4 linked regions of the Lepisosteus oculatus genome follow. The protein of the gene in region 4 binds, or shares a complex with, the protein of the main gene of each other region. Links are inferred from orthologs where the notes say so. Each region holds a gene or a part of one and is shown on either strand. Other genes may lie near its edges. The genes, in order: dpm1, pigc, piga and dpm2.

Evidence for each region.
Region 1: dpm2 (region 4) and dpm1 share a complex: the UniProt entries of both Homo sapiens proteins name them as parts of the dolichol-phosphate mannose (DPM) synthase complex. The link is inferred for Lepisosteus oculatus from reciprocal best matches to the Homo sapiens genes DPM2 and DPM1.
Region 2: dpm2 (region 4) and pigc share a complex: the UniProt entries of both Homo sapiens proteins name them as parts of the glycosylphosphatidylinositol-N-acetylglucosaminyltransferase (GPI-GnT) complex. The link is inferred for Lepisosteus oculatus from reciprocal best matches to the Homo sapiens genes DPM2 and PIGC.
Region 3: dpm2 (region 4) and piga share a complex: the UniProt entries of both Homo sapiens proteins name them as parts of the glycosylphosphatidylinositol-N-acetylglucosaminyltransferase (GPI-GnT) complex. The link is inferred for Lepisosteus oculatus from reciprocal best matches to the Homo sapiens genes DPM2 and PIGA.

The regions. Positions count from the first base shown.
Region 1 is NC_090711.1:9,602,432-9,610,401, reverse strand, and holds the start of dpm1 (dolichol-phosphate mannosyltransferase subunit 1), read left to right. Parts: upstream 1-4,968; 5' UTR 4,969-5,004; coding exon 5,005-5,135; intron 5,136-5,855; coding exon 5,856-5,955; intron 5,956-7,268; coding exon 7,269-7,302; intron 7,303-7,502; coding exon 7,503-7,579; intron 7,580-7,946; coding exon 7,947-7,970. Other genes in the region: heat shock 70 kDa protein-like, read right to left, coding at 876-2,819. UniProt on the Homo sapiens protein: Transfers mannose from GDP-mannose to dolichol monophosphate to form dolichol phosphate mannose (Dol-P-Man) which is the mannosyl donor in pathways leading to N-glycosylation, glycosyl phosphatidylinositol membrane anchoring, and O-mannosylation of proteins; catalytic subunit of the dolichol-phosphate mannose (DPM) synthase complex.
Region 2 is NC_090704.1:31,465,464-31,472,831, reverse strand, and holds the start of pigc (phosphatidylinositol N-acetylglucosaminyltransferase subunit C), read left to right. Parts: upstream 1-4,352; 5' UTR 4,353-4,486; intron 4,487-4,553; exon of another isoform or gene 4,554-5,468; intron 5,469-6,600; 5' UTR 6,601-6,607; coding exon 6,608-7,368. Other genes in the region: tmed5 (transmembrane emp24 domain-containing protein 5), read left to right, coding at 1-44; uncharacterized protein, read right to left, coding at 1,840-1,853, 2,608-2,722, 2,813-2,943, 3,176-3,375, 3,682-3,740. UniProt on the Homo sapiens protein: Part of the glycosylphosphatidylinositol-N-acetylglucosaminyltransferase (GPI-GnT) complex that catalyzes the transfer of N-acetylglucosamine from UDP-N-acetylglucosamine to phosphatidylinositol and participates in the first step of GPI biosynthesis.
Region 3 is NC_090710.1:20,913,501-20,920,837, forward strand, and holds the start of piga (phosphatidylinositol N-acetylglucosaminyltransferase subunit A), read left to right. Parts: upstream 1-4,320; 5' UTR 4,321-4,460; intron 4,461-5,819; 5' UTR 5,820-5,889; coding exon 5,890-6,613; intron 6,614-6,816; coding exon 6,817-6,949; intron 6,950-7,337. Other genes in the region: vegfd (vascular endothelial growth factor D), read left to right, coding at 376-568, 1,503-1,512. UniProt on the Homo sapiens protein: Catalytic subunit of the glycosylphosphatidylinositol-N-acetylglucosaminyltransferase (GPI-GnT) complex that catalyzes the transfer of N-acetylglucosamine from UDP-N-acetylglucosamine to phosphatidylinositol and participates in the first step of GPI biosynthesis.
Region 4 is NC_090719.1:15,315,037-15,322,899, reverse strand, and holds the start of dpm2 (dolichol phosphate-mannose biosynthesis regulatory protein), read right to left. Parts: upstream 3,003-7,863; 5' UTR 2,906-3,002; coding exon 2,903-2,905; intron 2,395-2,902; coding exon 2,305-2,394; intron 1,810-2,304; coding exon 1,707-1,809; intron 1,159-1,706; coding exon 1,103-1,158; 3' UTR 1-1,102. Other genes in the region: uncharacterized protein, read left to right, coding at 3,872-4,233, 4,570-4,697, 5,085-5,300, 5,812-5,960. UniProt on the Homo sapiens protein: Regulates the biosynthesis of dolichol phosphate-mannose. Regulatory subunit of the dolichol-phosphate mannose (DPM) synthase complex; essential for the ER localization and stable expression of DPM1.

The sequences.
Region 1 (7,970 bases), on a different chromosome or scaffold from region 4:
AGGAAACGTTGTTCCGTAATGTTCATTTCATTATTGTTTTACTGCCCAAGTAGCATAATGGACGTTGAAAAACAAATGTTTACGGGTGATTTTTGAGGACAGGGAAAGGTGTAATCAAGCGGACATTAAACTGCTACTACTGTATCTCTCTGGTTTTAATTAGTTTCTTGCTAAATTATACTCAGTCTAATAATAAACATTTTACTATACATACTATAAACGTTCCCTCCGTTTTGTAGCAATATGAGAAGAGCCAGCTTGTCAAGTGGATGGCAGCCCAATATTTAGAAGAACAGAGGAAACATCAATGTTGTGGAAGGGCTGCTAATTAAAAGTAACTTGAAATGAATATATTCGTTACCAGTCCATTATTAAAAATACTTCTCGACAAAAACGTATAAATGTTTATGAACCGATGATATTAAAACAGATGCTCCCACTTCATAAAGAAGCTGCAATTGAAAGACTGAAACATTAAGAGTATCTGTTCACATAGTTTAACAAGTAACTCAGAACAATAGAGTATATGAACACTAAAAATGTAAAACCTTAAAGTTATTATAATATTCTTCATTTCAGCTCACAATTACCTGCAGATGAATGAATTCTATACTATCTACCCCTACAACAGCATGTACAGTAAGCTACACCATTAAAAAAAGTGAAACCACACCATTAAATCCACTGCAGGCCTTTATTTTAATATATATACAGTATATCAGGAAGTAATAAATAACACTTATATGTACCAGTCCAACCAGTAACAAGGAATATTCTCTCATTCTAGTGAAACTGGTCTGTATTGAACTGAAGCTCTGTCACCCCATCCACTACAGTTATGAGCGTCCCATTTGGGAAGTATCAGTCTAGTCCTCTTAATCCACCTCTTCAATGGTGGGCCCCTGGGAGGCATTCCCTGAGCCTGTCCGTGCTTGGCTATCACAGCCTCCTGCTGGCATGCCTCCTTGCATCCCTCCCTGGTACAGCTTGGTGATGATGGGGTTGCACACTTTCTCCAGCTCTTTCAGCTGGTGCTCGTACTCCTCCTTCTCTGCCAGCTGGTTGTTCTCCAGCCAGACAATGGTTTGGTTGCATTTCTCAACAACCTTCTTCTTGTCCTCCTCGCTGATCTTGCCTTTCATGTTTTCATCCTCCACACTGCTCTTCATGTTGAAGGCGTAGGACTCCAGGGCATTCTTGGCAGCGATCTTCTCCCTCTGGGCATCGTCGTCTGCTTTGTACCTCTCGGCGTCCTGCACCATCTTCTCAATTTCCTCTTTGCTCAGCCGGCCCTTGTCATTGGTGATGGTGATCTTGTTCTCTTTGCCAGTGCTTTTGTCCACTGCAGACACGTTCAGAATGCCATTGGCGTCAACGTCAAAGGTCACCTCGATCTGTGGCACCCCTCGTGGGGCAGGGGGGATACCCGTCAGCTCAAACTTGCCCAGAAGGTTGTTGTCCTTGGTCATGGCTCTTTCCCCTTCGTACACCTGGATCAGGACACCAGGCTGGTTGTCTGAGTAAGTAGTGAAGGTCTGGGTTTGCTTGGTGGGAATGGTAGTGTTGCGCTTAATGAGGGCTGTCATGACTCCTCCTGCAGTCTCGATGCCCAACGACAGTGGAGCCACGTCCAGCAGCAGTAAGTCTTGCACATTCTCAGAGGTGTCCCCCATGAGGATGGCTGCCTGCACAGCTGCACCATAGGCCACAGCCTCATCGGGGTTGATGCTCTTGTTCAGCTCCCTGCCATTGAAGAAGTCCTGCAGCAGTTTCTGGATCCTGGGGATGCGAGTGGAGCCTCCAACAAGGACGATGTAATGGATTTGAGACTTGTCCATCTTGGCATCTCTGAGTGCCTTCTCAACCGGCTCCAGGGTCCCTCTGAAAAGGTCGGAGTTCATCTCCTCAAAACGAGCCCTGGTAATAGAGGTGTAGAAGTCGATGCCTTCATACAGAGAGTCGATTTCGATGCTGGCCTGAGAGCTGGAGGACAGGGTTCTCTTGGCTTTCTCACATGTGGTGCGCAGTCTCCTCAGTGCTCTTTTGCTCTGGCTGATGTCCTTCTTGTATTTCCTCTTGAACTCTTCCACAAAGTGGTTGACCATGCAGTTGTCAAAGTCCTCCCCACCCAGGTGTGTGTCCCCTGCCGTGGCCTTGACCTCAAAGATCCCATCCTCGATGGTAAGGATGGACACGTCAAAGGTGCCGCCACCCAGGTCAAAGATCAAAACGTTGCGCTCTCCTCTCTTGCCCTTATCCAGCCCGTAAGCGATGGCAGCTGCTGTGGGCTCATTGATGATTCTCAGCACATTCAGTCCAGCAATAACGCCGGCGTCTTTGGTCGCCTGGCGCTGGGAGTCATTGAAGTAGGCAGGAACGGTGATGACGGCATTGGAGACTTTCTGTCCCAGGTACGCCTCGGCAATCTCCTTCATCTTAGTCAGGACCATAGAGGAGATCTCTTCTGGGTAGAAGGTCTTATTCTCTCCTTTGTACTCCACCTGCACCTTGGGCTTGCCTCCATCACTGATCACCTTGAAGGGCCAGTGCTTCATATCCGACTGCACAACAGGGTCTTCGTACTTCCTGCCAATCAGCCGCTTCGCATCAAAGATGGTGTTATTGGGGTTCATGGCCACCTGGTTCTTGGCTGCATCTCCAATGAGCCTCTCCGTGTCAGTGAAGGCCACATAGCTCGGGGTGGTGCTGTTGCCCTGGTCGTTGGCGATGATCTCCACCTTGCCATGCTGGAACACCCCCACACAGGAGTAGGTGGTGCCCAGGTCGATCCCAATAGACACTCCCTTTGGTGCAGACATCTTTCCGTGTGTCTACAGAACAAATAAACCACACATTTTCTCTGATACACATTTAACTGCTCAGTTATGAATACATCAGATACTGTAGTTCAAATAATTTCTGCTGGAATGTTTGATTTTTAAACTCTCCACATGAAAATTAAAGTATAAAAGTCTCATTCAGGCTATGAGGTGCAGGTTTTTCTCATAAAGTGGAGTAACAAGGACAGCAGTCCCCCAAGACATCATTTTACCCCATTATTACATGTTTTTTTCACCTTTCCAGTACACTTTGTAAAGTATACAAGAAGTGCAACACATTAATTCTAAAAATCAGCACTTTCTTTCCTTACACATCATGTATCTTTTCAGCTTTAGCAATTTAGATTTTTGCACATTTGTAAAGTTCAGTCACATTATCTAATAATTGAACCAAAATAATATTAGATTAATCTTTGTTTTAAATGTTGAAACATTTGTTTCCTAACTGATCAAATAACTTTCTAGACGTGTTACATTACTTTTCAACAGCTATGTAAACTATGTGCTGTTTATGTGTCAACTTACATTTTAACAAAAAGAATGTATCAAGTTATTTTGCAAACGCAGGACACAGTCTGTAGTGTTACAATATTTTAAGTTTGTACACATTAACGAAACACAAATGTTGAAAAACGATGCAGCAAACATCAGCTTAAAATGTCACACGTTTACACGCATTGCGGTTCACCTATAACGAGATTAGGGAGATGCTCCGATGATTGTCGGAAAAACCCGATTCTCGCTCGGCGTTCCGTCCGTGTGATCGTTCACTGTTCTCAGCGCTGCCCGGTGCGGCTCAGCCACCCTTTTTATTCACTTGCCACTTGAGTTTCAGAACTCTCTAGTGAAGTCGCAGCCAATCAGAGGGGGGCTTTACGTTTACATTAACTGCAGTTGCTAAGGCCCCCCTTCCAACCTCAAACCAGGGGGAGGCAGAACCTTCTAGACGGAGCTGGGAGTTGCTAGTTGGGAGTCAGAGCGGTTTATCGACTTACCGACTCTCGTACACAAGATTGCCTCACTGGGGTCGAGGTGTGCAAAGAGCACACAATGTTGTCGATGCACTTGACTGGCGCCAGATCCGCTGTAGTACTATCACTGTAATATCAACAGTTGTTTTTGTCCAAGAGGTGACTTGTTGTATAGGAGGTTAATAAAAGTATTATAAAGCGGGAGGCAAAAAACAGCAACTGCAGAAATATGAATTAGGGTAGCACGGGGCTTGAATAAGTGGATTTAGTAGCAAATGCAATGCAAACAAAGTAGCAAATGAAATGAAAACAATAAATATTTAGATACTTAGATGAAACTCACAACTGGGCAAATACCTGGATGTTTGATGTTGACAACTGCAGAGTATTATATATAACTTATAAGCCAGTAGCAAAAACATTAATTATGCAGCATATGCAAAAACGACAAAACACCTGGTTTGAAGAGGCTGCTGATGAAAAACATTATTTACGCTGACACATCCCTTACAGCTTCTTGACAATGGGAAGAAGCAATAAAAATGCAAATACATTTTTCGTATTTAATGTTTAAAGCGCGGAATTTAAATGGAGACGTCAAAATTGTGCAATGCACTACCAAGACCTTATTTAGAATATTGTGAATAGTTTGATTGACACAAAACGCTACAAAACGCTTTGCAATCGTGGAATTAGTCCATCTAAGAGCGGAAAGGGACATTCTGGGATTTAGGAATATACTGTACAACACTGAAAGGCTAAATGCGCTGATTTTGTTTTTTGTCAGAAAAAAACTACCCTGAGGGCCTGATCCAAGTATTCAAAATCCTTCAAGGCTGAGTGCCGTTCTGTCGTTACTTATCCCTAGAAATTCATTTTCTTAACAATTTATTCCGTTTGTATATCAGCATTTTAAATTTTAATAACCTGCAAAAACTCTTTTGTCCAAAAAATCCTTTCTTGCGTATTAAGAAAATCTATGGATTGTAGATATTTTAAATATTCAACGAATTATTAATGGTATGACTTATTTATGTATTTATTCATTATATTCCAAAACCAAGGAATAAATGATCGTACTGAGTAGCCTTTTTATCCGCACATCTCGGAACCTGGTAATGTGTTCTTCTACTTATGGGTGAATCGGGGGTATATTTTATTGTGACACTTACTTCCGGTTCTGCACTTCCAACATGGCAAGCAGGAGAAGCTCGGAGAAAAGCCGTACCGGGACAGATAAATATTCAGTATTACTGCCCACTTACAATGAAAGGGAGAACTTACCATTAATTGTGTGGCTTTTAGTGAAATACTTCGGAGAAAGGCAAGTACTTATAACTTAAATGTCTTCTATGTGTTTGTTGAAGATTAACTACCACTTACTGATGAGCTGTCATTATCTCTGTCAGTGTAAATAAGCAGAAATACTGTGCTAACGTGACAATCGATACTTTTTATGTACCTTGTACTTTCTACTAAAAAATATGCGAGACACTGAAAAAGAAAGGTGTATCGTTGCCCATTCAGAACGTGTCTTGAGTTCGCAGTAGGTTTTTCAGTGTGCCTATATAAATTATTCATTGACTGGTGTTATTAATTTGAATGCAGCAGATCATTTATATTAAATTAGGTTCTTGTTCTCGTAGTATTGTCAATGGCCGTTTATGTGTCTCCTGTAGGAGCATTTTCTTAATTTTCCGAGCAAATCTTTTGGAGAAAATATGTTTTACTGCCATTAAATATGCGTTCTCTGCAAAAGCCCCCCCACTCTGGAGGGAGAGAGTTAAAACGGTGGACGTCTCTTGACTAACTTGCAAATTTACATCACAGACCTCTTCAATTACTTGGCTGGGGTAGACGTCCTCCACCTCAAGAATAGGTCCCAATTTAAGTTCTAAATCAAAGCTGCCAATAGCATGCAGAAGACAAATAAATGTGTTCCTTTCGTGGGTTATGTAATGCTTGGTGCAGCACTGACGAAGTTTAAAAAGCCTGAAACATTTTGCGTAATGTCTGTTAAGGATTATATTATTTTTTATTACAGTGAGTGCAACTATGAGATCATTATAATTGATGATGGAAGTCCTGATGGGACACTGGAGATGGCAGATCAGTTGCAGAAGATATATGGTTCAGATAAAATAGTAAGTGGAGCTATGGTAGACATGGGTCTAACAGATTGTGTACACGGTATACATGTTGGTGCTGGTCGCTTTAATTAACACGCCTATTGTGTGTGAACTCACGTGTAATTTTATTTTAGTGCTAATGATTATTTTCATCCTCCTTTCTTTGTTTACACCATTCTCTGTCTTCTAATAGTGGTCATGATCCTAGACATTTACATATGTTTTTCAGCATAGATGGTGAATGTTAAACAATGTGTTCAATGTACACAGACAAAAAAGCACAATTGTATGTGTGGTTGATTAAGATCACACTTTAGATTAATACAGGAAAATAGATTATTCCAAAGGGTTCACAATTTTGTTCTCAACAGTAAGCAGCAGATACATGGAATATGGGTCTAGAATAGGTTTGGGAATTTGTCTTCACAGTTATTTCACAATTTTTGACCTCTGTGAAGTTTTTGTGCTGTATCTTGTATTGTTCTGTTTGTCTTTGGTTAATGTTGTAATGGAATATAAAGTCACCTTACAATCATCCGTCATAAAATATGGAGCATAACAGCGAGCACAGAGTAATTAGAACATGGAGCACAGAGATACAGAAGTGGTTCTCTTGTCATTTTAGGAGATAAGTGTGTCAGCTGCTACTGTAGGAAGAACTTAATTCAGATGGACTTCCTAGGAGGAGTTTAAAATCTCCTTTCACTATTATTAGTTGAAATTGTGCAAGCAGGTGAAAAATACTGTCTGAATTTGAAAAAGTCATCATCAAATCAGATGGCAGTTTGGCAAGTGCAACTCAAGCTCTTAGATCGTGGGTTCAAGCCTGTTTCATGTCACTGCTGAGAGTAGAGTTAGATTATTCTGCCAGGGCAGTCAGTGATACAGTAGAGCCTGCGGCCTCCTGGGCACTTGCAGGATTGTGGTGGTGTTACTGCAGGGGTTGTGTCTCTTCTCCTGCTGGCGCTGAACCTCCAGTACTGGAGTGCACTGACTGTGTCGCGTTCGAAGAAGAGTGGTTCGAAGTTATGCAGGTCGGAGGAGTCAGTATGCCCTTCCTCATTCTCCCCTATGTGCGGCTGCAGGGTTTGTGGCTACAAGCCAAGAAAAACCCATCACTGATTATACCACAAAATTGTGTGGGTATGACAAAAACAACTGGCAATTATAAATGTATAACTAAGTGTGCTTATGAGAAGAATAGCTTTCTTCTCTGGCAAGTGAATCAGTCTTGTCATATTACACAAGCTTGTAATTAATCAATGAAATGCTCATGGAGTTTCTCCAGTCTTGCAATCTCTGAATTTCTTTTTGTTTTGTCTTGACAGCTTCTTCGACCTAGAGCAAAGAAACTGGGATTAGGTAAGGCATTCTCATGCTGGTGGCTAGTGATAGTAGTTTATAGACTTCTGTGAAGAGACTCTTCTCCTAAGGATCAATGTATTACATTCATTCCAAACATTTGTGATGCAGAACATTTGTTGTCAGTAATGAAGAATTTAAAAGGATAATGTTCACTTTGCATTCATTGATTGTAACATGGTATTTGACTTTTTGTGCAGGGACAGCTTACATTCATGGAATTCAGCACGCTACTGGGAATTACATCATAATTATGGATGCTGATCTCTCCCACCATGTAAGTTGTTGTCTGTAAGAGAAGCTTTTAAGCTCAGTTAGTTTTCAGTTTAAAAGAATGTAGATCCTTTTACCTGATGATTTCATATTTTTTTGCATAGAATTTTAAAAGAAACCATCGATTCTAATACTGATATAGTAGTTGAAGTGGACAATTCCATGAAAGTAACCCATTCACATCTAAAGTTGTTTCTTCTCTGTTAGGTCATATAATTGTAATTAAGAAGTTCAGTCAGTTTAATGATAACAGAATAGCTTAAAAGCGTATGTTGTGGGCTGAAGTTGAACTGAAAACCAAAATCACTGCATATACTGTAACAACAACATTTTGTAAATTAATTTTTATTTTTGTTTCTTCCTTCACTCAGCCAAAATTCATTCCAGAATTTATA
Region 2 (7,368 bases), on a different chromosome or scaffold from region 4:
TGCTGCGCAGCCTCTTCGACGACAAGAGGAGGAGCCGCACATAGCGTAGCCGGACGGGGGGGGGGGAGGACAGGCGGCCCAGCCAGGCCAGGCCAGGCCCAGCCCGGCGGGCCGCTCACAGGGCTTGGGGGAGGGGGCCAGGCGGGCGGCAGGCTGCTCCTGGACACAACGCCGACTCCTCTACAGTCTGTCCCCACTCTTGGCTTTCTCTGCCCAGTGGTCTTCTTGTTTAATTCGACTGAAAAGACAGGTCAAGCTCAAGAGCGGAGCGCTACCGGAGCCCACGCGCTTCGTCATGGATTGGGTGAAGGCAAATCGCTGCTTCAGCACACGAACCTTACAATACCTCCAGCAAAAACCCGAACTGCGATTTCTTTTCATCAGGGCTCATTATCTCTGCTCCTGAGGGCTTTCTTTTTGTCTTGGAAGATGGTTGATGTTAAGAGGGACTGTTACATGTTGTGTCAAAGAGAGACTGGTCTGATCTAAATTTTTCTTCTAAAGATCAAACTACATTTTCTGAAATTAGAAAAAAAAGAGCAGAAGCCATTTATGTGATGACTTATTATTATGACTAATTTCTGCTGAAACATTGTTTTACGTTTTTACATTGTTGTGCCTGTACACGTCTGCAGTGATTCTGGCTTACTCCTCATGTGCCCTGAGGGATTAGTGACATTGCTCACTTTATCCCCTTTACAAGCTGTGCTCAGTGCACAGCCCACGGCAGCCATGTGTACAGCTATGCAAACAATCTGAAATGAGGCTGCACGTCTTCAGATCCTGGCCACATGACTGAAGAGAGACACTGGGATGACGGAAAGGGCTTTCACATGATAGCAGTGTTATTGACGTCAACAAGAGGCTCCTGGCCAGAGCTGAAAAGGAGGTTTCACATTTGACTGAATAGTGCCAGGCTTCTTACTGTGAAACAGTCCTAGTCCCAGAGGGTGAGCCCTCATGAGCTTCTGTTCCACACAGTGCAGAGCCCCTGGGCCCCGACCTGCTGCAGAGACTTGGAGCCCCCGAGCCCCAAACTGATGAACCACAGACTCAGAACCCCTGAGTCCCAAACTAATGCACCATAGCACAGAGCCCCTGAGCCCCAAACTGCTGCCCCGACATGTAGATCCCCTGAAGCCTGACCTGCTGCCCTGAGACTCAGAGCCCCTGAACCCCGACCTGCTGCCCTGAGACTCCGAGCCCCTTAATCCAGGACTGCTGCACTGAGACTCAGAGCCCCTGAACCCAGACCTGCTGCACTGAGACTCAGCCCCTGAACCCCGACCTGCCGCACCGAGACATGACAGATTCTGGGTTCTCCTCTTCTTCAAGTTAAATTTTCAACTGACCTCATTAAGCGTGTGTATATTTTTCCAGTTCACTTTTCTACATAGATTCCAAATTATTTAAATGTGTAAAGGAATAAGAAATAGACCTTCCTAAAACGAGCCAAGAGGAAGCTGCAGAGTGGCTCAGCTGGTAAAGAGACTTACCTTTGCGCCCTGATTCATGTGCTGCGGGTTCGAGCCTGGGTCATGTTACTAACCAGCTTGGAGAGGTGGCGCACAGTGACGTGTTAGAAGATGAAGGGGTCAGTGTGCTCGCCGCTGGCTCTGAGAGGGAGACGTCACTCTGCTCGCGTAGATAATGTGACATTGCAGTTGAAATTCGTGACCGGCTTTGGCAGTGCCTTCATACAGACAATAAATGACTGCTTGCAGCAGGAATCGGGGAAAAAGGCTCCTGTTTATTTGTGTGTGACCAGCTTCCACATTACTGCAGTTCCTGTCCACAGTGGTGCCCAGTAGACAGCGCCATCTTCTGGGAGTGAAGATTTCAGGAGATGCAGTCTGCAAGGCAAGACACCTACATGAACTCCACAATAGGACCTTCATAATGCAGGAAGATACTGAAAGTGTAAACGAGTTTAATGAAGGGTGGTAGGTGAGGATGATCAATCTGTGACGGTACTGTGTGCATTAATAGAGTATTTTACATAAGACTGAGGTGCAGAATTGAGCCCATCGAGTTCACCTTGTTGGACAATCCTGAGGTCGCCCTCAGCTGTGGCTCTGAGAGTGGCTGAAGATCTCGGTGTAGCTTAAAAACTGGCGCTCTTTGGCCAGGCTCTTGAAAAGCCTAAAAGTGGTGACTGTCACCCCTTGAGCAATGCAATGGCCTGAATCACTAAATGGGACAGAGGAGAACACTATAATATATTCTTTCTAATAATTAGTTCAGTGTGAACAATGAAGTCTTCCCGCCCTTTTGGACTGTATTATTTTGACATTTTCCTGAGGTGTGTGAATGGGAGGGAGTGTTTGTGCTGCTCTTAGTTACCCTACCAGCTGAGGGTGAGTCGTCTTCGTCACACTAGAGAGGGCGCCTGCCTGCCTGTCTGTCCTCAGCCCTGCACAGTTGGGCAGAAAAGCACAGAATCACAGCTCCTGTCTCGCACCTGTCAGAGGAAAACTGACCAGACAGCTAAATCTAGCGAGGTGTGAATGGCCTAGTCCCGACAGCCTTGGCTGAAGCCAGTTTCGTGAAGGTGAACAGAAATGTAGGATGGCCAGTGACCAGAGGCCCCAGCTCTGTCCAGGCTACCTGCGGGACTGTGGGTGCCGGGGTCCTGCGCTGACCGCACAAGTGTCCAGGGACGATACCTTGACACTGACCCACGGTTGGGCCACCGACGTCCGCCAGACACAGGGGCCTCAGCCTGGGGGAAGGACACCACAGTTAGCCAGCAGAACCAGAGCAGGGACTGATCGCACAGCCTCGGCCCCCCTGGCTGCCGCCGGCATCTCACCTGGCCTTGAGCAGCCGGCAGCCTGGCCTGGTCCTGTCTCTGGGGGGCGGCAGCGGACTCTCCTCCTGCCCCTGGACTCCGGCTCTCGGCCCCGCCCCGGGCTGCACGAGACCGGCCGCGCCGCCGCCGCCCTGGGGAGCAGCAGAGGGGTCAGGAACAACGACACGGAAGACCACCAACGGAGAAACGCGTACGGGTGTTAAAATCCGCAGACTATTCAGCTGAACGAGCTTGACGGGCCGACCGGCTCCTCTGGTCTGTGACCTTTTCTCTGCTCCGGCAGCGGCTGTTGCGGCTACAGGCCCGCAGCTGAAGGACGTGCCTAAGGCCTAGGGGACGAGTCGCGCAGGAGAGCGGCAGTACCGTTTGCGTCTGGAGGGTCCCTGGGTCTGGTGCCGGGATCCCGGAGGTGGGGGCGGCAGCTCTGAATGGCGCGGGTGCTGTCCCATGCGCGTGGGCTCCCCACGACCCAGCCCTCCTCGTCACAGCACGGCGACTGGAAAGGAGACACGGGGACAGGACGCTGCTGCTGTCCCCCTGGGCTGTGGGCCAGCTCAGAGGTGCTGCACAGCGGGAATTTATCACAAGCGGACAACCTATTGCTTTGTTACAAGCGTCGACAGTCTCGCCTTTTCCAGTTCATTCCCTCTGAACGGACCAATAACAGCTGTTCTCACCGACCATCCATTACAAGAAGCTCTAATCCGTGACCTGGAGTCCGTTTATTATTGACCAGAAGTGGCTGTCATTGTACTTTAAACCCACCAAGACTCTAAAAGAGCTTTTTTTTTCCCCTCAAAGGAAAAAAAAAGACTCCGTTTTCTGCAAAACACCCGAAATGAACGTGTCAGGTCGTGTGTACTCTTTACCTGGGCGCAGCATCCCTCCTGCAGGGCCGGGACGGGGGGGCGATATTCACCCGGGTTACCTGTGGCAGAGAGAGAGCCGCGCTGCTGAGAAACCGCTGGGCCTGGCGAGACCGCCCTGAGCGCGCCCACGGCTCCACAGACGGGCTGCCACGCTTCAGAGACAAGACCCCGACCCATACTATCAGACCCTCTTTGAAATGTTATTAATTATTCAGTTTAATACTTCTCTTCGGGTGACATGCCGTGAATACAGCATTAAAACACAGAGTATTTGAGCAGCTGTAAAGTTATAACCTGTTTAACACCTGCAAACTCCCTTTTGGACATCGATTCCCGACATTTTCTCGACCTGCAGGCTGCAGAGACAGCGTTCAGCCTCAAGCTTTCAGTAGAAAGACGCTAACAGTTTAGAGGAGCGGAAGATAATAATTACATTATTATTCCAGGTTAGATTAACAATTAGAACAGCCGATAACATAGATGACGTCTGATTCGCTTTTAGATAAAGCATAAGTGCTATCGTTTATTACTGGGCAGACCTGTTATCGAAACGCCGTTCTCCTCTTAATATAGACTCGAGTGTCCTCAATGGTGCTTTAACAGTTCCTCGACAGGGGGCGCTCTCGGCTACTGAAGACACTACGTAGATGCAGGTCGCTCTATAACACTCGTGAAATCAGTGGTAGCCTATCACTCACTGCTTCCTGTTTTCTACGTTTGTTTTGGGAGGACTTTTATTCTCCTAGTGAAATACATGCTTATCAGAGAAATGGAAATGTTTTTTCATACGGCGTTGTGATAACAGGTAAGCTCAGGGAGATTGAATTAAATACCGACATGTGTTTAACATTGTTGTAGCCCGTACCGGCTGGTTCCTGTAGTCCATTTTCTACCCGCCTCATCTACAGTAGTTCGGGGTTGCGGGGTAACCGGAGCCTGTCCCAGCAAGCAACGGGTGCGAGGCAGGGTGCACTGCGTACGGGAAGCCAGTCCATCGCAGGACACGCACACGGTTACACCCGGGCCTATTAACCCCCCGGTAGGTCTTTGGACCAGGAGAGGAAACCGGAAGAAACTCACGCGAATACGGGGAGAACATACTAACTCCACTCAGACAGCACCGCAGGTCCAGAATTGAACCCTGGGCTCAGCCGTGCGAGGCAGCAGTGCTCATCACGGCGCTACCGTGCCGCCTTAGTTTAATTTAGTGCACTTAAGAGAGGAGCACATTCAGCACATGTGGCCCTTCTGGTAGTTAGCAACTAACTGACCCTGTATCTCACCCAGCTGTTTCTTGGAAGAAACTAGGATATCAGCTTCCACAACGTGGCTGGGCAGCTTGTTCCATACCCCCACAACCCTTTGGGTAGAGTCGTTTGTGTAGGGCAGGTCCTTCATTCCAGCTGAGCTTCATCACCTCACTGAGGCCTTAATTGAATTCATCAGCTGTTTGATTGTAACATTTGCAAGTGTTTTTTTTTCCAACTCAAGAGTTTGGGATTTGATTTCAACTAGGAAATGTAATGGTTAAAAGGCTGCCTCCTGAAGGTTTATAGTCTGAAAACAGTCACACAGGTCCAATTAATCATGTCATTCAGGCAATTAAAACATTCAACAGTGTGACTGACAGCTTGGCTGGAACAAAAACCAACGGGACTGTGGGTCTCCAGCACCAGGACTGGGATCCGCTGCAGCACGTGAACAGAGCTGACATGTGGGTCAGGAGAGGCGTGTTTCAGCAGTTATCGGCTGTGCTGTGCCGTTCGCACTGTCAGTAGCGCAGCGAGGTGTGTGATTCAGGTGTGCTGGTCATTGTCCGTGCCGTCAGTGTGACGAGTGTACCTGCCCGCCGCTCCTGCCTGGGTGTCTACAGCCAGTGTCAGTACAAGTACAAGTACAGTCTCAATGTCAGTGTCAGTGCAGGCTTGGTGCCAGTCCCAGTCCCAGTGTCAGTGTCAGTCCCAGTGTCAGTCTTAGTTTGAGTGCCAGTACAAGTGCAGTCTTGGTGCCAGTGTCGGTGTCAGTCCTAGTCTCAGTCCTAGTGCCAGTCCTAGTGCCAGTCTCAATGCCAGTGTCGGTGTCAGTCCTAGTCTCAGTCTGAGTGCCAGTCTTAGTGCCAGTCTCAATGTCAGTGCCAGTACAAGTGCCTGTCTCATTGTCAGTGTCGGTGTCAGTCCTAGTCTCAGTCTGAGTGCCAGTCCTAGTGCCAGTCTCATTGTCAGTGTCAGTCTCAATGTCAGTGCCAGTACAAGTGCCTGTCTCAATGTCAGTGTCGGTGTCAGTCCTAGTCTCAGTCTGAGTGCCAGTCCTAGTGCCTGTCTCAATGTCAGTGTCGGTGTCAGTCCTAGTCTCAGTCTGAGTGCCAGTCCTAGTGCCAGTCTCAATGTCAATGTCAGTGTCGGTGTCAGTCCTAGTCTCAGTCTGAGTGCCAGTCCTAGTGCCAGTCTCATTGTCAGTGTCAGTCTCAATGTCAGTGCCAGTACAAGTGCCTGTCTCAATGTCAGTGTCGGTGTCAGTCCTAGTCTCAGTCTGAGTGCCAGTCCTAGTGCCTGTCTCAATGTCAGTGTCGGTGTCAGTCCTAGTCTCAGTCTGAGTGCCAGTCCTAGTGCCAGTCTCAATGTCAATGTCAGTGTCGGTGTCAGTCCTAGTCTCAGTCTGAGTGCCAGTCCTAGTGCCAGTCTCAATGTCGGTGTCAGTCCTAGTCTCAGTCTGAGTGCCAGTCCTAGTGCCAGTCTCAATGTCAGTGTCGGTGTCAGTCCTAGTCTCAGTCTGAGTGCCAGTCCTAGTGCCAGTCTCAATGTCAGTGCCAGAGTTGGTGTCAATCCCAGTCTCAGTCTCGGTGCCAGTGTCAGTCTCAGGGTCAGCCTCAGTCAGTGCCAGTGCAGTGCCAGCCCTCACAGCCGTGCTACTCTCCCGCAGGGGCAGAATGGGGGCGGAGAGCGACCCTGGATCCACCCCCGCGGTGCCGTGGCGGAAGGTCCTGTACGAGCGGCAGCCGTTCCCCGACAACTACGTGGACCGGCGCTTCCTGGAGGAGCTGCGGTACAACGTGGGCGTGCGGCGGTACCGGTACTGGCCGGTGGTGCGGGAGGCCGGGCTGGTGGCGCAGCAGCTGTCCTGCGTGGCCATCTTCCTCACGCTGTGGTCCTGCATGGAGCAGGGCCAGCTGCCCCCGCTGCTGCTGCTGGCCGCCAGCGCGCCCTGCGCCCTGCTGGGCTACGGCGCGTACGAGGCGCTGGGGGGCCGGCGGGGGGGGTGCGCGCGCACGCGCTGGGCGGACCTGCAGAGCGCGGCCATCTTCCTGGCCTTCACCTTCGGGTTCTCCCCGGTGCTGAAGACGCTGACGGAGTCGGTGAGCACGGACACGGTGCACGCCATGGCCGCCCTCATGCTGCTGGCGCACCTGGTGTCCTTCCCCTACGCCTCGCCCAGCCCCCCCGGCAGCCTGTCGCTCAACGCCGCGCTCTTCGCCTCCGTCTGCCTGGCCTCGCGGCTGCCCGGCGCCCTGCACGCCTTCTCCACGCTGACGGCCGCCCTGCTGGTGTTCGCGCTCTGGCCCTGCCTGCTGCACCGGCTGCGCGCCTCCCGCCCCGGCGCCTACCCCTGGGCGGCCGCGCTGGTGTCGCTGGGCGGCGTGGCGGGCGTGGCCAGCCTGACGCCCGCGGGCGCCGCGCTGCTCGCCGCCCT
Region 3 (7,337 bases), on a different chromosome or scaffold from region 4:
AAACACAATTTTAAACTGAACTTGGTTATATTTAAAACATTTGGATATACATTTTTTAAATACTAACAATGACTTGGGACAGCAGAGTTCATGTTTGAAAACGATTGAAGATACTAGGATGATTTCTTATCTCAGTTCGGTGCATTGGCTGTATTACTCCCTGATTTATAGAAGTCTTCCAGGAACTGGAGATTTTGTCTTTCCAGTATGTGCTTGGCATGTTGTGTGAACATTTTCTGGAGTGATAAGTTCTATGTGAAGAATAAATAACATTTATTTCCTTTAATTCACTTAGTACTCTGTTTGACACCAGAAGACATTTTCTTTGGCATCTTTTTTCTTTTCTATCAGTAAGGTTCTCTGCTTCCTTTTCAGAATTTTCTCCAATTACCAAGTTGTCAGACTGTGGGCCTCCTAGGATGTTTGATGAAAACCAATGTGATTGTGTTTGTGAGAACAATTGTTTCAGAAATTACACAATAAACCAGAAAAACTGTAGCTGCCATTGTTCTCTAAACCATGAGATCTGTGCCACAGAAAACAAAGAGTTTGACCCAGGCTCCTGCAGGTAAATTACCATATTCACTGACTTAAAGCAAGTCAAATCACCTTAACGATGCATAATTCTGAACTAAACTAATGGTCGAATCCAGAATCTATTAGGATAATCATTTTCCTATTAGAATAAATGTGGCCAGAATAGAAAACTGCAATGTGAAGATTAAAAAATATATTTTTTATTTTTCTAGGAAGAAAAATGAACAAAATTATAATTTCACCATTTTAAAAAACCTTATAAAGCATATGCAAATTATTTAGTGTGCTGGGATACATTTAAGCAATACACTCAATGAAAAAATGTAATGCTTGAGACATAAAGTATTGGTCCTTCAATCCCTTTTTATCAAATTTAATTAATGGCAATCTTATTAAAGATAGTGTTAGGAAAGTGTTAGGAAAACAAGATAAATTCACATGTGGATTTTGAGTCGTGTATTGTACAGGAAACAGATGACACATTGAACAAAGGAAGGATCACACTGTAGAGAAACCAAATAGTTAACCAAATTATGTTCTAGACTGAAATGACACACCCAAACTTGTAAACTGTGTGTATGCTGTGTGGTAATTTTTACAATCTAATGCATTCTTCATTAACAAAAACACATTCATACTTCACAAAAACCTACTGCTTTCCTTCTAATTTTTCTAGTTAGTAATTGATTCAGAAGTCACATGTTCAAAAAAGTAAACATCAGTGACGATTATACCAGAGCCTTTTAGTAATTATTACTTACATTGAAGTTTCACATGGCTTAGCCTCTGTATACCAAACCTTAAATTAAATTCAAAGTGTTGCACCAATTTGACATCAGTCTTTGGAAATACAGGTTTTTTAAAAGGATTAGATTTTATCATTTTCATTATATGATCTATCATAAACAACGGCATATAACAATTGTTCTTGCTCATGTTAAAATGACCATTTTCTTTCTCCACAGCTGTAACTGAAAATGGAAGATAAAGCACTGACATTCTGAAAGGTTGAGCGGTTTGAAATTAGAAATTAATTTATTGACGTGTCTATGTCTGTCATGCATTTAATGTTTATATTACTCCTCCCCCTCCTACACACAAGAAGTGTAAAAAGGACCACATTAAATTACTTCTAAATGTAAAGCTGTTAAGTTTTAGCAGATGGTTTGTAACTTGGCTTCCTGTAGGCACTGAACATATATTTTACAGTTTAAAATCATATTTTTGTATTTGTCACAATTGATGCTTATTTTGTATAATATATTTAAATGTATATTATGTGAATTATAAAATGTTTGCATTTTTATGTCTTGTGTGATTATTATTATTCAATATTATCATCTAATTTAGATAATTGCAACACCATTAGAATTTACAAATGCTACAAAAGCAGGCTAGATGAAGAAACTATACAATGCTCTTCTCAAATGTCAAATACTTTCCTAACTTTAAAGTTATATACAAATCTTTCAGAATTTCCTGTGCAAATGAAAAACACCCTGTCAAGTAGTTTTTACAAGGTGCAGCCTTTTCCAAATTATAGGTTTTGTTACACGTTTCACACCAAGTAATTGATTTCCTTCTTTAACTGTAGTTCCCATGAGAGATATATTTACCTTGTTCTTAGCTGTAACTAGAGACTAACACTTTATCTTCAAATAGCCTTAGGGTTACTTGACATCATTTTCAGGCATTCTCATCCCATGCGACAATTAACCATTCAAAAGCTGTATGAAGTATGAATGAATAATTTTGAAATGGGAATCCCATTAAACACATACTTTGTCAGTGCAATCACCGGTTCTGGGCTAATAAAACAAATTCTGAAGATGGAAAAAAGCAACACACCATGCAGATGTAGGTTTTGCACAATCCTATCTATACTCCTTTGTGCTAGAAATAATCTGCAAATTAATGCAAAACAGTGTGATTTAAGGCTATGGCAGTCCCCACCCAACTTTAAAATGTTTTCTTGGCAGCAGTTAGACTTATAAACAAAAGGTGTTGTTTCACAAGATTAACAGTAGCACAGGGATAGTCATTGAGAAGAAGCTTTCCAGGGCTCAGCAGCACTGTCATACCAGAAAGGCCCATTAGTCACATACGCCCAAGACCGCTCTATCACAGGCCACTCCCCAAACAGGCAGGTGCGGGTTCCTTCTGAGGGCTTCAGTGACAGAGAGAGTTGGAAGCACACACGATGTCGAACCACTGGTATGGTGTTGTGTGCATTTTATGTTCAAGTTTGAAATGGATATGCTGTGGTACAGTAGGTCTTTAGAGAGAGTAATAATGTTGTCCCAGACAGTGTCCCAGTCCTCCCAACAGGCACAAAAAAGATGAGCAAGGTCTGAGGTCAATACAATAGGAAAACCGAGGAGGTGAATAGGTGTGTCTGAAAAATGTGTGCAGGCCATTGTAATCAAAGATGTCACCAAAAGTATACTATCTTATATACAGAGATGGATAGTTGAAGAGCTCAAAACCCATCAATTAGAGGAAATTATTCCTAATAAACGTTTATGATATGTCAAGAGGCAGTTGACCTTCCTCCAACTGTCCAAAGTGTGCAATGACTGGGACCATTTCAAAGGAAACAGTCCTGACTTCGAGAACAGAAGAAATATGATCCCAGTGTCTAACTTGCTCAGTTTAAGTTTCTTCAGTGAGGCTGATGCCCCAAATCCAACCATTTTGTAAACATCCTCAACTTAAATACTTAAAAGTTATGTTCAGGCCAGCAAAATCTATGAGGCAAAGTAGTTGTAACAGTTTTACTTTGTTCCATGCATTTTGTTGGGAGTTAAAAGGATCTTGACAAATTAAATAAATAGGCAAGGAAATATGTCCATTTCTATAATATAACCTATGCGAACAACAGATCGTATAGAAGCCCATCTAGTTGGATACAGTTTATTTTTATTCAAGAACCTCAAGCATATTCTTTTTTACGATTTTCCGGTACGCGGAAACGTGGGGTCTTACAAAACCTGAAGATCTGTGTACTTGGTTAACTGACATAGGAAAATGTCATCAGCATAGAGTAAACAGATTTAGAAAGATTTTCCTTTTTTTTTTTTGCTCAAATGGTTTCAGAGTAACTAACTATTTGTACTTTACAGGAAAAAAAGTGTTCATAGAAGGAAAATAGCTTTCACTTGCCGATTATCAAACGTTACCGAGAACCAAAATGAAAAAGAAGAATAACGGACACAGCGCGAGCCTGCGTTCTCTCCTCAAACGTCCACACAACACTTTCCCTTGGGTCAGTGATCAAATAAAACTTCTCTCACACTAAACAAATTACCACAGTAAAAAAAAACCTAAATAAGAACATAAAGTACAGAATACTGAATATGTTAACACAAATGTCTCTCAACATTAGTGAACTTATCGCTCGTTAAGTTTCAACACGAGAAAATAGAATACGTCAACACAAGTACCTTTAAAAATTAAAAGGCATCAAATCAACAATCAATAACTAGACTAAAAAAGTTGCATTCCCTGACCGGGAATCGAACCCGGGCCGCGGCGGTGAGAGCGCCGAATCCTAACCACTAGACCACCAGGGAACCATACGACTAAGGCTTTAAAGTATTGTTTTAAATTAAATTAAAATTATTTAACGCAAGTCGTTTTGAAATAAAAGAGAGTTTACAATTTAAAGAGACCAAATAAGATCCCAGTCATTTACTTGTACATTTTTTTCAGTAAATTAACATACACCAGAAGACTGCGGAAGTGTTCATTTCCCAGCATGCCAAGCGGAAGTAATCTCTCGCGTTCAACACGGAAATGCTCATTGAAAACGAAAACGAACATGCACTTCTGCTTAATAAGAAAGCCTGTCTTTGTACTAAAATAATTAAAAAGCTGTGTAGTCCTAGGAAGCAACTGATACGCAACCCATCGTTACATATAAGGTAATACTGTTTTCGTTTGTTGTAAAAACTAAAATAAATGTACTAGTAGTTGTTAAACAGAAGTTCTTTTAGTTTCTTCCAGTCACAATTCTAGATAACCAGCTGTTGCATTTATTACCTCGCGGTGCAGTGATTAAATGTTATGACAGCTTTAGTTTGTACCGTTTCTCGAAGGTGGCACCTCTCAGTTCAATCGCTTAGATTGGTGTCAGGTAAGGGTGCTTTGCTGTGAAGCGTTCTGGGGATAAATTATGAGCGGGTACAGAAAGCATTGGGTCATCAAATGCAGGGCGCTCAAACCGAAACCTAATGAGTTTATCGGAGTGTAGCTGTATAATATGCTCTGTAAATACGTCAACACTTATTCCTGATAAATTGTGTTAACCAAGTGCTGCGACTGGTTACATTTTTACAGTAACCTGAGTATTTTGTGATTAAGAACTGTTGCAAACGAGAAGAGGCTATTCTACCCATATAGCCCGTTTGGTATCTAGTAATTACTCCAATCAAGCTGTTTACCGAAGCATATCGGTTTCCACAACCTTGTAGTAGTTCTGTTCAAGACTCAAGGTTCAGTTAATTAAGCCTGTCAGTGTATTACATTCCCTTAATCCCTGAAATGTATTAGATTGCTCTTCTCTGGACCGAATCCAGAGCAGGAATATTTTTATGACATAGTGACCAAAATTGTAAACATAATTTTTTTAAAAAAGGCGCTACGAAGTGCATTACACAATTCTAGCACCCCTTGATTTAAATTCCATGCATTCACCCATCAGTTTTCTAACCGCTTCATCCAATTGAGGATCGTGTGGAAGCTACAGACTATCCCAGCTGGCAGTGGGCACAGGCAGGATACACCCCGGATGGGACACCAGTCCATCTCAGGGCACACACAGACAACCATGCTAACACCTTGGCCGTTTTTTCCAGACGCCAATTAATCTACCAGTATGTCACTTACTAATATATATATCCAAAAAATTCATCCATCTTTCTAACTGCGTCCCAGAATTGCCTAGAAGTAAATGGCTCATCAACATAGACACCTAATTCCTTTTCAGAATTCAACCTGCTTCTATCTCAGAGTGTTTTTTATTTTGCATTTATAGTTTTACTTTTGCTACCCTTTCTTTTTTGCATGTTTTCCAGTCCTCCTAATTTGTGTCATTGGCAAATTTGACTAGTTTACCTAAATATACCAGAATCTAGATCATTGATAAAAAATAGGAAGGGTTTTATGTTTAATGTAATTTTTGGTAATATTTGGTAATATTGAAAAGGGGCACTGTGGATTAATTCATGTGGATATGTAATAGTATAGAGGTGAAAGAATAATAACATATCTTTATTTTATAGGTGTGCATTTGAGCTGAGGAGTACAAATCTAAACCTGCATAGATGCATCTCTTGAATTGAATTTTGAACTATGAAGCTGGAACAGAGAATAGGAAGGAGCTCAGAGGGCCCCAAAATTAGCAGGCTCTTGGATGACATTGGACTCAATCACCTGGATCATCCTCACCGCAAGCACAATGTATGCATGGTGTCTGATTTCTTTTACCCCAATATGGGAGGAGTTGAAAGCCACATTTATCAACTATCACAATGCTTAATTGAAAAAGGACACAAGGTTATAATTGTGACTCATGCTTACAGGAACAGAAAAGGTGTGAGGTACCTCACTAATGGACTGAAGGTTTACTATTTACCTCTGCAGGTAATGTACAATCAGTCCACAGCAACAACATGTTTCCACAGTCTGCCTCTGCTCAGGTGCATCTTTGTACGGGAAAGGATCACGATTGTCCATTCCCACAGTTCATTTTCAGCCATGGCTCATGATTCTTTGTTTCACGCCAAGACAATGGGACTGCACACAGTTTTCACAGACCACTCCCTTTTTGGCTTTGCAGACGTGAGCTCGGTGCTGACCAATAAGCTGCTCACTGTGTCGCTCTGTGACACAAACCACATCATCTGTGTGTCATTCACAAGCAAAGAGAACACTGTCCTAAGAGCTGCACTGGATCCTGAGATAGTGTCTGTAATTCCAAATGCTGTTGATCCCACTGACTTCACTCCAGATCCATCCCAGAGGGATGACACCAAGATTACCATTGTGGTAGTAAGCCGGCTTGTTTATAGGAAGGGTAAGAGTGACCTCTGAAAGCAAAAATGTGTTTTAGCAGTAATTAAGGTTAAACTTGCATTTTAATATTGATTTCAAAGTCAGAACATAATTTTATATCTTTTAAGTCTTTAATGATTTTATCACATTTACTGTGAAGTGCAGAAATACATAGATTGTTGATTTTAGTAATTCCTGGAAATTTTTATTCATGCTTTCCTGCAGGGATTGATTTGCTTGGTGGCATAATTCCAGAGCTGTGCCTGAAACATCCAGATTTGTATTTCCTCATTGGTGGTGAGGGACCTAAAAGAATTGTCCTAGAAGAAGTCAGAGAAAAGTACCAGCTTCATGATAGGTGAGTTAGGATTTTTGGAGCAATTGGTATTTTTCATTGAAACCCAAGCTCTAATTACAGTACACTATAAAATGCAGCAAAACAAGGTGCTTTTCAAATTTATATTTATAATTGTAAAGTGTGATTTAACCAGTACTGTACATGAATAAAAATGTTATCTTCTCTTATTAAAAGAAGAACAATATTCTGTAGAAATGAGAAGTATTTTTTTGTCAGAACTTCATATAAAATTAGTTTTTCTGTTTTGGCACTTATTAATACTTTTTTTGCATGTGTTTGTAAACTTAAGTGTTATAGAAAGAAAAGCAGATATTTCTAGGAATTCAATCTTTAAAGGTCTTAGTTCTCTGGCATGATCGATATTTTCATTAACATTTTAAAAGTGCAG
Region 4 (7,863 bases):
AGGTATGAACTTTGGAGCACAACAGTACATTAAACACACCATCCCTCCATCCACTGAAATCAACTTTAACATGCTGGGTCTTTAGTCAGCCTTGAAGCATGTGTGTTTTTTTACATACACTTCATATTTTAAGGACTAAACACACAGTCTTACAAGGCGCAAGGTGTATAAATCAAAAAGTACGAGAAGGTCAATACCTGCACTCACATTTGAAATGTGTGCAGGCATCACAATTCATGCATTTGTGATTTTTGTTAAAAAAAGATAAGAAGGCAGTTTTGTGAACCAAGATGTCATTGTTTTTTTTTTTTTGGAAGGGTAGTCACAGCATTTTACAGATGGAGGTACGTTACAGGACAAAAGCTGCCTACAAGTGTAATTAAGTAGACATCACAATTTTACTGCATACTGTACATAAATATATACAAGCTTGTCTGCAATGCAAAGGGGGCACTGATATTACATGGGAATTAATTTCATCTTCCTGTAGCCACCACAAAACTAGTATGGAGTTTCACTGACGCAATGTTTTTAAAATAAAACTTGCAGGTAAAGCATTTTAGATGTAATGTTAGTGGCAACATTAAGAACTTCCATCGTGCTTTTAAAAAAAACTGTATCCCTTCAATTCAGTGACGGAAACGGGTTACATGAGTCATCTGGCTCTCATCTGGGAGCGACTCTGTGGATTACAAGCCGGCCCCTCTGGGTTTTTGCGACAAAGTGCTTACAGCCATGCAGTCATTAAGGGTGTGTGGAGTGCGCAAGGACGATATTCTTCTCTGCAGCACCTCGAACGTTTGCCTGGGGGAAGAGGGCGGTCTGTGACCTGCACAGCAAATTCCATTTCTGCTCCACTGTGGGTGTAACCTCACAAGCCCCCGTCCGCTCGGATTTACCCTTAATTCAACCCTTGAGACGTCAGCACAGGTGACTCTGAAATGGCTCAAACTGCAGTGCAGCCCGCTTTTCAGACTTGCCCACAGAATGTCCAAAGTGCTCTGCAATGTGAAGGAAAAGGGATTCGTTCATCGGTTCACACAGGAGCTGATCTCACTCATGGGGGTTGGACTCCTGGATGCTTGTGAACGAGCTGCTCTTTTCACTCTGACTTCTTTGGTTTCCTGTTCTTCCAGGTTACTATGCCGATAAAGGTTCCTGAATATAAAAGAAGACATAGTTATTCTCTTCAGAAAGAAACAGAAGGCCAAAGACAAACGAACTCTCTTCAAATCTGGGACCTCTTACCAAAATGTAAAAATAAGTGTGCAAGTGTGACTCATGCACTGCAGATGTTGTAGCCATGTCTACCCAGACCAGCAACAACAACAGACAGTTTCACAAAAACAATGTCTGAGTGAATCATCACAGCCACACTCGTGGCCTTAAAGACTCCAAAACAGAAGGAGAAGAGGTGAGAGACCTCAAAGCAAAGAAGTAAATGCTTTCAAGAAACAAACGAGTGCGATTCGTGAATCAGTTCAATGGTCTTGCGTTCTCTGGTCATTGTAGTACATGAGCTCGTGTTTGTCATAGAGAACTGGCTATGATAACAACCACCTTCAAGCTGAGACGTTCACGAAGGTTGGAAAAGGTTAATAAATGCTCACCCTCAATCTGAAACCTTGATTTGTGGGAAAATAAGCACAGGCTGCCGATATGTTAAGTGACTGTAAATCCCCTCCCTGCAAGAGAAACACACCTACCTACAAAGAGCAGCAGAATCAAAGCTGCAACGCCAGGCAATATGACAGAATACTCCCGGGGGAGAAAATACTGGTGCATCACGTGGTCACTGTCCACAAAGGGCTGCAAAACAACAACCAGACCAGGGTTACCACATGTCCCCACATCCCCAGGCATCTCCTCCTCCTTCATCACTAAATCTCCATCTGGGAGGAATTTTCAAATATTTTAAAATGGTTGAAATTCTTTATCTCTAAAGGTCTGACAAGTGTCTCAGCTGTCTTATCTGATCCTGTACTGTACACAGCAGCGTTTCTTCAAGAGATCTTTATTCAATGCTGTACTTTGCTATTCCTAAACAAATGCCAAAGTGAAAGTGCGAAGCCACTGCAGAACTGAAGACGACATTCCCATGTTTTCAAAGGGGAAGAGAGGAATGGGACATGAGCAGTGGGCATGAAGACCTGTCTGCGAGTCTCAGGGGCAAACAAGATACATTGATATGTACTGTATACACCTTATATACCCTATAAAACGTGTCAAAGACTGCTATTGTGTCACTGGGGAAAACAGCCAGAGGATCAAAATCCACATGAAGCAAGAGAGGTGAATACCCACCAAGATTATAACCCAGACTGTGTAATAGGTGAAGAGCAGCAGGCTGAAGCTCACGATGCCCATCCCAACCGCCTGATCCGCTCCTGTAGCCTAGCAAAGCCGTGGAAAAGAAATGTTAACCGATAGCACCGATAATCACACTGGGCGTTTCGTTCTGCTGTCGCAAGGTGACTGTGCAACTGCAAAAACTCCGACACAGGTGCTTACTTGGATTAACTGTCCTCTAACCCCGAAGAAGATGTTATATCCACGCACAGATTTTACGGGTTGATATGTTGACTGTATCTTATTAAACCCCACACATAGCATAACTTTATACTGAATACAATACACACTACACTTCAAAGCGAATTCGTCATTTCTTGCCAAAGCTACAGTTTCTGTTTGTAAGAGTATATATTATCTCGTTAAATACGTACCTGTCTTTCCGAGTTGCCAATTCATTCAAATTCTATGAAAGCTGATACAATAATGCAGCTCAGATAACGCCTTATAAGCATAAGTCATTGCACTAAATAAAGCATTAACCAGGCTTCACAAATTACAAAGGAATATTTATTATAGCTACAGAAATCGAACATGTTTAAGTCCAACTCACCATATTGCACTCGGTACTTTCCTTCCTTCTACGAAATCGTGGAGCTTCCAACTTCCGGTGAATTCTGATTGGTCCCTAAATCTTCCAATCAAAAATTTGAAGAATTATGGGAAATGTAGTTTTTTTTGCGATGTGACCAACTTTGAAAAGATTGGATTAGATGACGGGTATTTTGCTTGCGAGTTCGCTATAGCCTTTCGTGCGTGCAATCATTCACATTAGTGAAGAAATTATTACATGTGAACGGATATAACAGGTATTCAGAATATTAATTAACTCGAAATTTCACAGATGATGCGAAAAAACACAAGGTGGCAACAAAGGTGCACCTGTACTGTTAATTCTATACAGTATGCCACATACTGGCCTGTTCTGCTACTGTACCATTCATAAGCTGTGTGGTATATAGCATTATATTGATAGTATAGGTGCAGTTTTGTTGCATCCAAAAATCTAATACACTTTCTGCTCTGAATTTTAAATATATAGATTTGATTTTGTTAATGTTCTCGTTGTCTTGTTACGCTGATGCGCGTTTAAATAATTTCTCTTAAAAGAAATATTTAAATGAGCTCCAGCCTTGCAATATAAAATGGGTCTCACTATGAGCTAGAGAGCGCGTCGTGGTAAGTTCTTCAGATGCAGCTACGAATTTTCTTTTCTTTCCGTGTTCCGCTCCTGAGCTCCCGGGGTATTAAATTAAATCGCCAAAAGTTGTACGAGCGTAAACGTGGTCCTATTCCAGTGGGTGACTCAACTTTTATCACTGCTTAGAGCGAAATCGGAATATCTCAAAGATAATTTTGACACTGGTTCTATAAGAAGAAGAAATCTCTCGCCATCCCCAAATGCAGCTCTTGCAACGCCGGCTGGCCCAGGCTGCGTCAGACCCCTGGAATCTGGTGGTGACATTGTAATTGCTTTCCTCGGTCTCATGGAGCTGCCACAGCTGTCAGAGGAGAGTTACTAATGAGAACCCCGGGAGAGGCACGCAGCGCCGTACTCCAGAAACACCCCAGCGGGATGGAGGTCTGCAAATTCATCCTTCTCCTTGCCCTGTGTTTTATTCTCCCCTCTGCGTCTCCTCCACCCCTGAATAAGAAGCCGGGGTGCCTCAAGGTGAGCCACTGCAAGTGTCTCCTGAAGGACGGCTCGGGCGTCATTAACCTGGCGGCGCTGGGCGGCTCGGCCGGGCTCCCGCAGCGCTACAGAGCCGAGCCGGCGGGGGCGGACGAGGTGCTGGTGTCGTTCAGCCCCTGCTCGCCCTTCTCCGAGCCCGCTGAGGTTCCCGGCACCCAGTGCCTGGAGGTGGCCGCCTGCGTGGTCGTGAGGTAGGGTCAGCGCCTGCTTGCGGGGCGGAGGGGAGTGGGGAGAGACTGTAGTCCAAGTGCGAAACGGTGTTGTTAGGACTGGGAGCAAACAAACCTTACGGATGCTCAGAGCAAATACTGCAGTAAACTGTTATGATTTAAAAACAAATTCCTTATTATAGCAGCATATTACTGTATTCTACTCCGATAAGAATCACTGGCTGCCGATGTCGAGGTCAGTACGGTTACTGCGAGGGTGCCCTTGTCACTGCTGGCGGACATGCCTGATGAGGTTGGCACGGGTAGGTGCAACCTAAACCTTTTTTTCCCCTCCGACAACTCAATTCTCTCTCCCAGACACCACACAAGCAGCGGCGGCGTCGAGAGTCGCTACTTCAACTACGGGCAACACGAAGGGAATGAATTCAGATACGACAACCAATCGCGGACCCTTTCAGTTACATACCCAGGTTCGCCGTCTTTATGTTAGCTCATCAGAAACGTAACTTCTTCCGGGCTTGCAAATAATTAAATGTCAGTGAAGGGCTGGTTAGGTCTAAGAACCAGACATGAGAGCAATTCTGTCATAATCAATGAGGGATTTCATTTTGAAGAGATGGAAGTTTGAAAGAGGATCTTTGGTAATCCTCAGGTGTGAGTGTGTATTGTCAAGGTACATTTATTGAATTGAATTGAAACCTTTTCCTGTTTTTTTGCTATGAGGTGACGTTGTAAGTGGAAAGGGATTGTGTGCCTCTGCTTTGGCCCTGGTCAGAACTAAAAGAAACGTCTTGCTGCCCACCGTGAATGTGATGTGAGAGTAGTACAGGCCGTGCGAAGGAGTAATTATCCCCTCGATGTTCTTTAACAAGTCCTTTCCAGCAGCCTGGTCCACACTGTGGTACACTATCACTGCAGCCCCAACCACTCCGTGTCCCTCTCCCAGCCTGTGGAGCACAACCGCGCCCTGGAGATCTTCGTCCGGAGCCCCTGTGCCTGCCCCAACTCCTGCAACCTGGAGGACGTAGGGCCGATGACCATCTTCCTCATCGTCCTCTGCCTCGGCACTGCTGCGTACTTCATACTGGGTAATCGACCTGCCAGGCGATCCGGATGTATTTTATAAAGTGGATCTTCATGCATGGTGACCCCCACCTCAAACTGTCTTGCAGTCAGGTTACAACGGGACACAGAACTCACAAGTCATTTCTAGAACAATAATATAACTCAATGGGTGGCCCTATGCAGTACACACCAGAGGGTGCTGTGAGGTGCAGTAGTCGTGCTGGTGAATTTTTACCCCGGTGCAGGAGTGAGCAGCCCTGGGATGACAACCCATCGAGTCTTCTGGTTCCCAGGACGCCCTCAAATCATCAGTTTCTGAAAACTTTGACCAACAAAGCGGGGGATTGGCGCAGTTAAAGGGGAATTACAGCCCCACTTCCTCAGAGCAGGTGCTGCGGCCGAGCTCTCCACTCGGCGGGGAACTGCAGCGCTCGGGGAGGGAGGTGCTCGCAGGCGGAGGACGGAGTGAGGCGTTCCTCGCCCTCGCACCAGTGCGGTCAGCGCCCTGAGGCACGTGCTCTCTCTCTCTCCCAGGTTCCTGCGCGCTGCGGCCCTTCAGGAGCACGCAGGGGGTGCAGATCAGGCCCGAGGAGAGCCTGTGGTGCGTCCTGTGCTACCAGTTCACAGAGGAGAGAGGGAGGAGGCTGGGCCGGAGCCAGTGCATCAAGGAGGAGACCCTCTGAAGCGGAGAACTTCGCAAGCCCTGTCTTGCAATGTGGAGCGCTGCCCCCTGTCCTTATCTCCAAGACACTTCAACACATAGCCTCTATCAGCCAGGGGAAAGGCCAATTACATAGGGGGTGTTTATAGAGGTAGTTAGAGATAGCTTTCCCACCCATGGGAAAAACTACACTATGGATCGATGCATGTTTGAGCACATCCAAAAGAACCTGCTGCCCACCACAGTACCCAGTCGGCTGGCATCCTGGAAGACTACCAGGAGAGGAATGATGGTCAAACTAATATGGGTCCCAACTTTGTCTGTGGAACCTTGTTCCTCACGGTTCCTGTCACCTTCAGATCATCCTTAACCCCCTCTGTGCTGGGATCATAGCCTGGGCTTTTCTCCACTAGGTGATTGCTGGAGGTCAGTTCCTCATTAACACCAGGAGAGGTCCTCCAGCTGACCTCTGCATAGATAATGAGATCCAAGACCAGAGGAGACGCATGGCGAGCCGCAGCCTTGCAAAAGCTCTCGCATGAACTGGATTTTTTTTTTTTACTCCAAATTTGTTAAGTTTTTCTTTCCATCCTATTTTGGGTTTGTTTCTTTTATAGTTGTCAGTTAGGCTACAGCCAGGAGTTAGCCAGGTCCCATTAATACTTTCCTTTTCTGTTTGCTATATTTTCAGGTCTACAGCTGGTTAGTTTTATTTTCTTCATCACGGGACCCACCAGTTTCTGGACTTGTTATTTTTTCAGTTACCCAACTAACACTGTACCTGCTGTTATGGAATAAACAAGTGCCGGTTTTGTACAACTGCAGCTGATTATTAGCCACAATGGGCACTTCGCACCTGTGCTCGAAGGTGTTCGTTCCACTTGCAGTTTTTACCATTTTCCTCACCCGCGGTTACGCGATTTTTTAAATCCAGTTAATTTTTTATCAATGCTCCAGAACTAGGTTGTTATTTTTTTTAGAAATAAGTCATGGGACAAATTCTCAAGTTGAAAAACAATGGAAAACTGTTCAAATAGGGAAACACCAGGCCCTGGAGACTGGGGAAGAGAATTGTTTCTCCAGTTTCACTAATAACTTAGTATCCCAAGTGTCAGCAGCGTGCTCTTCTTTTACTAGAAACACTTTGGAACAGGGGATCTTTTTTTACACTTGGTATTAGTTTAGAAACAATATGTAAAAAGACAATATCAAGTTGCTTACAAAAACAACAAAAAAAAGCCAGCATCTTCATTGAGGTACCCAAGGACAACTTTATTTCCCCAAAATATTACATTTATAACTTTTCCTATTGTAATGTTACAATCTAAAATAGGAAACATTCAAATGTGAGAATACAAATATACTTTTCATTAAAATACAGTACGGTGCTCCACCTAAAGTGAATCAAATCTGTAGAGAGAAACCAAAATCCTGTTTCAACAAAAAGAAGCCTTTGGAGCAATGTTTTAATGTTTGTTATAAACTTTTATTTCCAACCAAAATGCTTTTAGAGAATCACAAAAATAGAGCCATCTAAATATTTCTCTTAATACATTCCATTATAGATCCATTGAGTTAAGGAAAATTATAGAAATCTCTGTAAATCTAATTCAATCTAAAGTACAAGTTAGAAAGTGTTAACCTTTTTGTCAGGGAGTCTTGGACTCCTGTGCATAGCTTTAATCCCTTTCCAAATTAAACATAAACCGAAAAAAAAAATCGATGTCAAAGTCCAAGTGCTGTTGTGATGAACGTCATGTAGCCTGGGGTTTTCAGAGAAGGGACACTAGGAAAGGCCAAAGCAGCCCTTTACCTCGAACTGCAGGTCTAGGACAGACGGACAGAGGGGCCTTTGGCAAGTAGGCATTTCAATTAACAGTAACATTAGCCAATTCAGTTATTTCGCACCTCGCAGTACAGGGGTA